Caenorhabditis elegans: one gene and its partner. The protein of the gene in region 2 interacts with the protein of the main gene of each other region in a pairwise test. Each region holds a gene or a part of one and is shown on either strand. Other genes may lie near its edges.

Evidence for each region. The genes of interacting proteins can lie anywhere in the genome.
Region 1: the proteins of C50E3.5 (region 2) and hsp-17 interact in a two-hybrid assay, tested with the Caenorhabditis elegans proteins (one large-scale study listed by BioGRID).

The regions. Positions count from the first base shown.
Region 1 is NC_003283.11:8,384,268-8,387,639, forward strand, and holds hsp-17 (SHSP domain-containing protein), read right to left. Parts: upstream 1,661-3,372; 5' UTR 1,648-1,660; coding exon 1,601-1,647; intron 1,291-1,600; coding exon 1,053-1,290; intron 792-1,052; coding exon 627-791; 3' UTR 541-626; downstream 1-540. Other genes in the region: F52E1.14 (ZP domain-containing protein), read left to right, coding at 1-1, 160-299, 346-540; gcy-7 (Guanylate cyclase), read left to right, coding at 3,089-3,136, 3,185-3,372.
Region 2 is NC_003283.11:7,586,415-7,594,011, reverse strand, and holds the start of C50E3.5 (SpoU_methylase domain-containing protein), read right to left. Parts: upstream 6,017-7,597; 5' UTR 6,015-6,016; coding exon 5,946-6,014; intron 5,899-5,945; coding exon 5,482-5,898; exon of another isoform or gene 5,453-5,481; coding exon of another isoform or gene 5,301-5,452; intron 5,256-5,300; coding exon of another isoform or gene 5,128-5,255; intron 5,085-5,127; coding exon of another isoform or gene 4,976-5,084; intron 4,807-4,975; coding exon of another isoform or gene 4,716-4,806; intron 4,628-4,715; coding exon of another isoform or gene 4,353-4,627; intron 4,093-4,352; coding exon of another isoform or gene 3,981-4,092; intron 3,934-3,980; coding exon of another isoform or gene 3,821-3,933; intron 3,772-3,820; coding exon of another isoform or gene 3,636-3,771; intron 3,589-3,635; coding exon of another isoform or gene 3,574-3,588; exon of another isoform or gene 3,458-3,573; intron 628-3,457; coding exon 516-627; intron 463-515; coding exon 290-462; intron 240-289; coding exon 151-239; intron 98-150; coding exon 1-97. Other genes in the region: C50E3.6 (Ig-like domain-containing protein), read left to right, coding at 3,574-3,588, 3,636-3,771, 3,821-3,933, 3,981-4,092, 4,353-4,627, 4,716-4,806, 4,976-5,084, 5,128-5,255 and 1 more; F19F10.11 (Lin-15A/B-like domain-containing protein), read left to right, coding at 6,414-6,470, 6,520-6,623, 6,669-6,767, 6,816-6,914, 6,991-7,116, 7,163-7,237.

The DNA.
Region 1 (3,372 bases), 800 kb from region 2:
GGTGAGTTATCTAAAAAAAAACGTCATTGATAGAGAAAGCTCATCAATTATAAATTAATCTGCTAACAGGAAAGAATGAATCTTATCATGTTTAATGTGTTGCATCAGTATTCTAAACTAATTTTAAAAGATTTCCTATCGATTTTAAGAAATTTCCAGACGCTTCACTTTCCAATTGCGGAAAAGATGTATCCCAAGTTCAATGGTGTCAATCTCATTGTCAAGATAAAACACTCGAAAACGTCATTGTATCATCTGCAGTTATCAATGGAAGTCTTCCACTTGCTCTAGCACAACAGGTATAATTTCGTCACTATTTGAAAAGATTTCATGATTAAATTCAAGGTTTTCTCAACGATTGGATCACCAAACGATACTTCAATCGCTTCAATGCAAGTTGATTTAAACTCACAAGGAGTTCGAATCGATTATGATTATTATGATGATTTCAACTTCTGCTCAGTTTATGTGAAAGTGAAGAGGCCATCCATGTTCCCATATGCTCTATTCATTACGGTTCAAAAGATTGTTGGAGTCTAAACAAAATGTTTATATTGTCACTTCAATAATGGAATTGAATAAATATTTTTGAAATAGTTAAAATACAGACACTTAGGTAACTGAAATCAGTTTCTCTTTGGCACAATTGTGATTGGAATGGATTTTGGCTGCTGTTCCTGATTCTTCTCATATTTGACAGTGAGCACTCCATTGTTGCTCAATTCGGACTTGATTTGTTCTGGACGGACCCCTGTTGGAAGGTTATACTTCCGGACAAAGTGACGCTCTACCTGAAAGTATGCACAACGAGGTTTTAGACTTTAGTACAACTTCGTTATAAGCTCGGAAATGAGTTGCTTGGCTTCCTTGTATTGCGTAACAGGCGGAAGGATAATCTAGAACTCTTGGCCTTTATTTTGGATAACTTTTTGCCCTTTTCCGAGTAAGGTTTCAGGATCTTGAGAGCTAATCTAAGGATGCATGAAAACATTTTCAAGTTGCACTAGCTTCATACAAAACTTGAGTTTTTCAAGAAGGAGGGAAACCCTCACCTGTCCATATTTATCAGTCTTCTCGTTATGCTTTCCTTCGATGATTAGCTGATTATCAACAATGTTCACTTTCAACTCTTCTGGTTCAAACTGTGAAACATCTACAGATACATTGTATTCTTGATCGTTGTTCACAACATCAATAGCATCTCCTACTCGGTGTCCAGTGAGCATTGTTTGATCGGCCCAGTATGGTCGGATCATGTGGCGATCAAAGTCGACGTCATCGAAGAATCTGCTAGAAAACTTGTTTGTAGGAGTTTTGTAAAATTTTTAAAGTTAATTTTCTAATTTTCTAATTGCAGAAAAATATGTCAAAATCTCCAGTCTTTATGATTTTTCAGAGCATTATTTGCTAAACTGGAGTACAAAGTCCTCTCGCTAGCTTATTTTTAGAAATCGCGCCAAATTAAATTCTTGTGTATTTTAAGAACTAGCGGCGCAGAGTACAATTTGAGTGACGTCACTTATTAAAGAAGAAAATTTACAGAAAGTTATGTTACTTCAACTATAGAAGTTTCCGAAAACACGAGAATTTAGAAACTTACCGGCCATGGTTAAAGAATGGGGAGAATGGTGGAAAACGACGATCCATTTTATAATAGTTTCTGAAAATCTAATTATTTCAAAGAAACAAAACGAAAGTAAGACAGAAATAGGGGAAGAAGAAGACAAAACTGAGTTGACACTCCCTGCTTTTCTACTACTGCTCTATTATCCTCAATGCAAACAAGAATCGCCCACGGTTTTTTTTACCTCCTTCGAGAAACATCTACTCCGACGAATCATCAAAAAGAAAAGGTTTTAGATTTCGAAATTATTCGAACAAACTGACCAAAATACAGTTCTTTCTAACATGTAATATTTGTTTTAAACTTTAAAACTAATTGTAAGGAAGATTAACAAAAATAAAAAGCAAAACAGCGAGTCAATGATGAAAGTTGGGTGTGGTTGTTTGGATACTTCCCTTTTATCGAAGTTTTTCAGGAATGTATCGAATCGTCTCGAAACGTTTTTTTTGCTGGCACACTTGCTGATAAACTAATGCAGTGACACAGTTATTAATGGCATTGATGATTTCATTCAAGTTTAAACTTTATGCCAGAACTATCTCTAAGTATCATTATATTCTATACTATTTTTTTTTGAATTAGCAATGTAAATATACTCAAACAGAGGACGGAAAGAGAACGTTTGTCATTCAAAACGAGACGAACGGTTGAAGGATTGGATGACTGTTCCCAACGTTTGCAGAAAAAAAAACATTCAAAAATAAAAAAAGAGCGCAGCAGGACAGATGCGTATCTGCAAATTTTTAGATTCGATTTTCATATGATGTGGTGGTTTTCCGGGTCATTGAAATTCGAGAAAGAAAAAAGTTAAAAAGAAACCGATGGGTTGATGATAAGGATATTTATAACATTTGGTTTTATGTGCTCAATGTGCTAAACAAAGTTTAAAAATACAAGTAAAATAGTAAAAAGGAAATAGGAAAATAATGAGGCGTAATGCTAAAGTTAAAAACTATCTTCATTCAGGTTTCCAGTAACGAAAACTCAACAAGAGTGACTCACTTCAACCAGCTGCCTCTCTTGTTTTTTTACCGTATTCAATAAAAAATTTGAAATGGAACTTGTTTAACGACAATAATATCAAAAATTGTAAAATTTGCGGTACTTTACAGACTGTTTCCACGAGATGTCAATGTGATTTGTATCTGTTTGATAAACTAGATTTGAAATCCCCAATGTTTCAGAAATGCGCATAGACTGATCCGATTAATTACGCAATTGCTACCGTAACCTACCTTGTGTCACGCTTTCTCATGACCAACAGATTAATCAAGTCCAAAAGAAGCTTTTTTCTCTTCCGTGCTTTTTCACGTATCAACTGTTTCGGGAGGCGGAAAAATATAAAAATAAGGTTTCACGGATTAGGCGGCAGGCGTAGTAAACTTAAGTTTCTATAAATCCCACCGCCCCTTGTGCAGATATAAAAAGATCTGCTGTCTGCCAGTTTAGCATAAGAAAATAATCATGAAGCCCTTCTATTCAATGTCTCTAGTTTTGTTTTTAGTGATTACGGTAGGTTTTGAAAGCGAATTCCACAAAATAAAAATGATTTTTTTTCAGTTGTTACCTAAACCTATGTTTCCCCAAGTTGCAACAGGTACCACTGGAAATGTGATTCGAGTGGGATTTATTCACTGTAGAGACTTTCAAAGTGCACCTATCACTGTTGGATATCGTACATCTGCAGCAGCAGCTTCAATTGCAGTTGATAGATTGAAAAGGGAGAATCTAATGAGTGGTTGGGAATT
Region 2 (7,597 bases):
TTCGAAAAGCTTGTTGAAAAGCGCCGAGTGACGTCGATGTTGATGGGAGAGGAAGTTGAGACGATTGTCGGTACTACATGTGTATTGAGCAAGAATTCTGGAAAATTGAAAATAAAGTGAAATTTGAACTGATCCACAAGAATCTCTCACCCAGAGCCTAAAAAAGTCAAGAGATTTGTGTCTCCATACCGGAATATCGTATCTTCGTCATTTCCAGAGTGGTGGAGAAGAACATGTTGCTGAAAATCCAAAAATATTAATTGAATTTAAAAAGTTTGGGTTATCCTACAATCATTGAATCAAGTATCGTCCGTTGTATAGTTGGTGTTGGTAGTACACCTAGAAGATGTGGCCTTCGGAACTTTGCGTGTAGATGTTCGGAATTTGAAGATGACTCGGCACTAGTTAAAGTTAAGGGATGTATATTTTCATATTGTTCAGGAGTTTCGTTCTTGCCAAAATCTGGAAAATAAAATTAAGTCTGACTAGAACAATTATATTTTTTAAAATCTTACCTGCAAACATCATCTTCCTTGGAAATTGTGCAGTTTTCTTGCGTCCAACTCCCATTAGAGTGTAGATATCGGCTCGGTAGGCGCTAACATTTGAGAATTCACTGGCGAATTTCTGAAAAAAAAATTTCATATTCTGCTTTCCCAATGGAAATTCCCATTTAATTTTATATTCACAACTGTGGCACGTAGTAGTGCAACTGACCATTGAAAAATGAAAAATGTGTGAATCGCAACCACATGTTAGTAATGGGATCGCGTTCAATTCATTCCAATAAATCCAATTGGTCGTCGTCGTGTTTTTTATGGATTACACAACGACCAACACACATTGGGACTCGCGTTCAAATTTTCAACTACTGGTCAGAAGCCCTACAGACTTGAAATAATCTTGTTGGATATTTTAAGTTTGAGGGCTTGAAAATTATTTTTTGTACTCACCACCCGGACGGGTATTCCCAAGTTGGAATAAGACAAATTGGTCATATCTCTTTCTGACACGTCGATTTGTCTTTGTGTCGGAAGATTTGCGTAAGATTAATTTGACAATATTGACTATATTGACTATATATATATATATATATACATACATATATATATATATATATATATACATGTATATACATGAATGTAGTGCCGACTATTTACGTGAGAAGTGCAAATTAAATTGTATTGGATCCGTCACATGTTTGCTCTTGTTTTCGATATTTTATGGCTCAATGAACTATAATGAGTCTATTGTCTGATCCTACGGGCTTATGCGTCGGCTTTCACTGAAATAATCCGTTTTGGGGGTTTTCCAGACTAGTTTGAGCATTGATTTAAGCTCTTTTTCGATAAGGAAGTATCTATTCCAAATTTCCAGAGAATGAATAGAACTTTAAGACTATTCTTCTTCCTCCATCTTTTTATTCTCGATGTTTTTGAATACAAATTGTTGTGTTTGTCTTCTTATTCTTCCTCTATTCGTTTTGGAAAGAGAAGGCGTTAGCTCTCACGCAAAATTTCCCCCTGTTCGTTGGCACAAAAAATGAACCAGAAAATTGATGATGACACTTTAGCATCGTGGCGGTTGTTGGAGCCCCGTTGTCTTTATTCGACTCGAACAAAAGGTGGCATCGCGCACGAAAACAGAGAGTGGGGAGCTCAGTCACTTTTTTCCTGTTGTTCTCTACATGAGAGAGCGAGATCTTCACAGCAAGGGTGCCTGGCTCGATTCGCCCCGCAAAACTGATTGACTTTTCGAGGGTAGTGGTATTCCCACAGCGAAACTTGTCACAATTCATTCACATTCTCACGAGTTTCTTCTCCTTCGTCTTCTTCTGTTACTTTTTACGCTCATCTCGCCCGCCTTTTTGTGAGTTGTCAGTGTGCCGCTGTCGAGCAGTAAGAACGAAGCAAAAAAAATGGGCGGGGCTTGAGCACCCAAGAAGAGATGAAGACAAACGGGTGTTCTTTGTAAGTGTATGAAGCTAGGAGGGCGGTTTCGCAGTGTTTGCTCTGATAGGTGAGATGAGAAATTGTTAGAGTGGTTTCGTCACTCCAGAATGTATCTAGAATTCCTAAATCTTGATTATTTTTCGGCGGGCATTGTGTGTCTCGTGTATGATTCATAGATTTCGTCAACGCCAGTTTTGAAAATCTAAAATTTTTCCAAAGGTTTTCTGATAGAATACTGTAGCATAAAACTCTGGCATTCGTAATAAAATTCCGGAAACCCCCGTAATTAGTTTGTTATTTCCTAACAAGATTTTTGATTCATTATGTATTGGAGCTCAAATTGGAATCTTATATTTCTATAACTAGTATAGAAATTTCAAGTTCCATAGAGAGTTCTAGATCAAAATGAGCCTTGTGACTCAAACTATGGGTGATAAATTACATTGTCTTGGCAACAAGCTGCCTTTAATCAATTCGGATTTTTAAGAGCTGCTCTATGAACACTGAGACAAAAGTAAATCCAAAATAAAACGAACAAAAAGGTTTCTTGATACTTCATCAGCAATTCCTTATTCTCCAGAGTCTTTGTGGTTTTTCGTTGTTTTTTTTATTTGGTCGTTCTTAGAGCAGATTCTAATGATCTCTGTGTTGTTTTTTCGCTTTTCCTGCTAATCCGACAGCTTGTTTCTAGGTATACGAAACCTTCAAAACTTAGTCATAAGAAGGAGAAGAAGTCAAAAATGGCCAGAATAAAATATACCTAGTATGCTTTTTTTTGACTCAATCAAGATGTCCAACTATAGAAGATTAGCGAGAAATGTAGAAAAATAACTGACAGCTTTCTAGACACTCGAGTTTTCGAGTACCAGAAAACCTCAAATAGATGTTCGAATTTTTGGCTAAAACGTAGAGCCATGAGAAAGTAGGAAATACCTATAACAAATAATCGTGAAAAGTCAAAAAGCAAATTTCTGATTGTTTTCTGAACTTTAAAAGTTGAGTAGAGCCAGTGGGACTTTCCCATAATGAAGCAAAAGGTAAATCTGCTTTTTAACACTTTAAAGTGTTTTAAATTTCCAAAATTTCTAGTCAACTACTTGTTCCATTTTTGAGAAGTCACAGATCACAAATTAGGAAGAAAATAGACGACTTCCCAAATCTTGAGGCTATGCTCTCTCTTCTTTTTCTTATTTCTCTTCCGAACATCATTTACTTCCCAAATTGAATCTGTACAGCCGTTATTTTTTGGCATCCTGTTCCTGGTTCAAAATTTTGTTGTAACGTAGATTTTCCCAGTTTTCTTAAATTGCTTGTTCTAGATCCATTTTCCACTAGATTCTCATCATCAACAACAACAAGTTGAGTTAGTGAGAACTTTTTGAAAGGGAGGAAGTGCGGTCTTTTTGTAGGTTTTCTTCTTCATGTGGGCTCTCGAAGAGTAACCTTTTCCTTCCTGCTTTATCGCAAGGCGGGCATAGAGACAAAAAGTGTATTTACTTTTTGAGAAGACGGCGACGACTCAAAGTGAGGGAGGTCACTCTTGGTGAAAGGAGAAGAAGAAGCACAACAAGCTTATTCGTTCGGTGAGCACAGCAACAGATTCTCAGATATCCGATGCTCCATGCGGTTTCATGAGGTATGTTCTTGAAAACGAAACCGTTTCCATTCCGAATTTGATTTCAGAATTGTATCTTCCAACTGCTTCTGTACTATTCTACGATCCTCCTAGAAGTGGTAGAGTCAAATGTAATATTCACTGTAGAAGAGAGCAATGTAACCACACCTATTCGTCATTTACACCGACTTCGGCATTCGAAAGGTTACTGTAGCACCTCTATTGGAAATGACTCATTGCTTCTATTTTTAAGGACCCTCTCCATATTTAACCGCCTCGTCATCTGTCATAAACCAGCGCGAGTCGAATCGTCTGGAGTCGTTCTCACTGAATTGCCCACATGTTGTCGATTCGAGTAATAAAAACGTGAGGGTCTTACCGAAAATGACTCGTATGATTTTTTTTGAGTTTAGGTTCACATTGAGGTCGTGTGGACTCTAAACGAAACTGTTTGGCTGAAGATCGAGAAAGGCCATCAACGAGTTGTGAATGGAGAGTCGACGTTTAACAAGAGACGCGTGTCAGGTTAGTTAGAAATTCCACTTGAGAACTTCAGTACTTCATGCATTAGTTAGTGTGGCTGCTGGTAGGAAGGAGCCGGAACTTTACTAAAGGGCATAAATAACCGGTTGTTGGATTCTGTGAAAGGTGTCAGTGGCCAGATTTATAGAATCCTGTCAATTTCATGAAAAAACTTGAACTTCTCTCTTCCCATAGATTTTGCCAATTAGGAGGCTGCTCGCCGAGCACGAAATGTTTTCTTAGAGCAAAATTTGATATTTCAGGGAAAACAGTGATGCGTCTACTACTCAACAACGCTCGATACCTTTTTGATTATGATGAGCTAACTGGAGACTTTTCAATGGAAATCTCGCCAGTTCTTTGGTCTTCCGATAGTGGAGCATGGCAGTGTCACGTCACCGTTCGCCAGGAAAACGGGAAATCTCACACTCTAACCAGCCGTCGTCGTATCAAGGCAGGCGAGATCGGAGTACGGAAAGAGACTCGTCAAGAAATGAGAACGAAGACAAAGAAGGAGGACATTGCGTTGCTTTCTCGGGTTAGTAGTATAACTATTACGAGAAGATATTAGATTATAAGTGGAAGAGAAGCGGCGATGCGAATAAATGAAATGATCTGAGTTTCAGATAGAGGAAAAGCCGGAGAAGATGACGGAAAAGGAGGAAGAACCAAGAGTTGAGGAGAAAGAGAATGTAGAATTCGCTAATGTAGGGAAAGGTGGGCTATTCATAATCAATCCAAATTAATAGAGACGTATTGTTGAGAAGTGAAATCTCTAAAATGATCTTTTTAACTTATAGGAATAACTTCATTTAAGGTAATCTCAATGAGTTTAAATTTCGGAAATATCAAAAGGTTTTGTCAAGTTACGGTATTAAATATTCAGAATCATCTCCGATTCTTCTACAAAAACGAGGAGATAGATCGTCGGATCACTTGCATCACAACGTGGCATCATTTTCTCGAAACTCTGATGACAACGTCTATATGACACGGTAAGCTTAATATAGTGAATTTTTGAAGACCTGCTCCTTTTAGAAAATCCGAAGAAATTTCTACAAATGTGATTTTTGCTCGAACCGACGGAGCGCTTCGGCATCATCACAAGCCAATCAGACATCGAGAGTTGGAACGATTATTCGATGCTCAGATTGATTATGAACTCGGTGAGAAGGGTCTACACACAACTTGAGATTATTGTTAAATTTCAGATATGTCAACCGACGACATGTACTACCAGAATTTGATGAACACACGAGCGCGTGCGCGGAGTGCACATTATTACTACAATGAAGGAAACAGTAAACGAGCATATCTCACTTTTTGTTCGCTATTTTTTGCCACTTTTTACTTGTTTTTGTGAAAAACAATAAATAAATATGGGTAACTTACCTTTGCATTTTTCGAGAAAACATGAGATGATTCCACGATTACCACACTTGACACGTTGCGATTCAGAAGACGTTCGGCGAATTTTGTGGAATGAAAATTGAAAAGTGTGACATCAATATCCGATAGTGAGGTTGTCATTGACGATGATTTTTGAAGTGATCGCATCAGAATTGACAGTGCTGATTTGATGGGAGCATGTCCGTCGGATCGATTTTCTTCGATTACTTCGGAACGCTTCTTTTTATCGTCTGACGAGCTAGTTGATTCTTCGTTTTCTGCGAATTCTGTCTCGGAAGATGTTGCGGGGGGCATCGAGAAATTTGGAGAAGAATCGATGGGTAAATCCAGGGACGATTCTGGAGCAGAATTCCACGACCAGACATCGGGATCAAATACTTGAGAGCTCACGAGAGGTGCCTGAAAATCATTTATTTAAAATTTGGCAAAAAATTTAGATTTCAAACCTTTACATCTTGACATGTAGGATTTTTTCGAATTGTGGAAATGCATCGAATTCGATTCCATATTCGCATTTCTGAAAAACTAGATTATTATTTTATTTTGGAAGATTAGGCTATTATGAACAAAAAAGCAACTTTTGAAAATTGAAATTGAAAAAAAATGTTACAAAATGAAAAGCGAGAGTTTCCAAATCGTGTGCAGATTTCGAGAGACGCAGGCGAAAAAGGAAACGCAAATGCGCTCCACCGCAATTTTTTGTTTTTATTTTTTTCCCATTTCATTTTTTTGCGATGAATATTTAATATATTTGCAATTTTTCCTTTTCTTGTCTTTTTAATTAAATTTTTAATTTAACCAGATGAATTTTCAGGTAAATCTGTACATAAAACTAAGTATTCAACCCGAAAAACAGTGTGTCTAGCATAGTATCAATGCTTAGGTGCTAGTTTTGTACAAATTACGGTTTCCAAATGCCGTTTTCTAAGAAAAATGAACAAAATGGTGGAATCACAGAAGCAGCGCTTCAGGTAAACAAATAAGCAAGTTCAGAATTCTCATTAAAATCACATTTTGCAGGCTATAAAGCAAGAGCCTTTGGATCAAAGGGAACAGCTCCCTGAAGAAATCAAATTAAAACCCGGTGAAATGATTCTTGTTCCAGATGATCCAATGCTTCCTGGGTAATACAATTTTGTTTTAATTTAATCTTGAAACTAATTTTCCAGAAACTCTACAGCTTCTACTTCAAATTTCTCCAGAGAAGAACTTCCGGGTCCTAGTGATGTTGTGCGAACAATTTCTAAAAACGATCTCATGATGTCAAGGTTCATTGATTGAATAAATAAATTTTTTACACAAAATTTTTTTTTCAGAAAAACTGCTGCGCCATCTTCGTGTCCACCGAAGGAGCAGTCGATGAAGCCCAGTTTTCAGACTGAAAAAATTATGGGCGATTTTGTGAAGCAACGGAGGTATTTAAAACTAAAATTTTTAATTCAAACTGTTCTGAAGTGCTTTTTAAAATATAATTTTTCTTCTTTTTTCCAGAAAGCTGAACTTCGCGACGCCGTGGCCAAGAAAAGATCCAGGGCCTTCATCAAATTCTTGGCTCACAGAATATCGACCATCAGTACCTGGGAATCAAATTGAAAATTCAAATATAGAAAATTTAATGTTTGTTGAAAGCAAAGATGAAAGAAAAAAATTGTTTTTTTTTCAGCAAAAAAGTAGCTCCCTTCTACTCTCGCACCACTCACGAAAGTCCACATTCATCTCAAACTGTCGAAGATTTTAGGTCAGAAATTTTGAAAAATAATAGCTCAACAGTTAGAAAAAATGACCGACTGTGAAGAAAATTTAAAAATTTATATAAATTTTTTATGATTTTTTTCACACATATTTCCGATAAGAAAATTATAAAATGATGTTAAATTATGCATTTTTTCAGCGAATTTTTTCGGGTTATCAAATTTTCTTTACGGAAAAAATTGACAAACCGAGTTTCAAATCTAATATTGATGAAAAAACCAAGAAAAACCTATGAGTTTAGCTAGAAAACGAAAAAAAAACGAATTCAAAAATAATTAGATCTTTTTCAAATTTTTGCAAACTTGAAATAATCGTAAAATATATTATCATTAGGGTCCATTTTCTA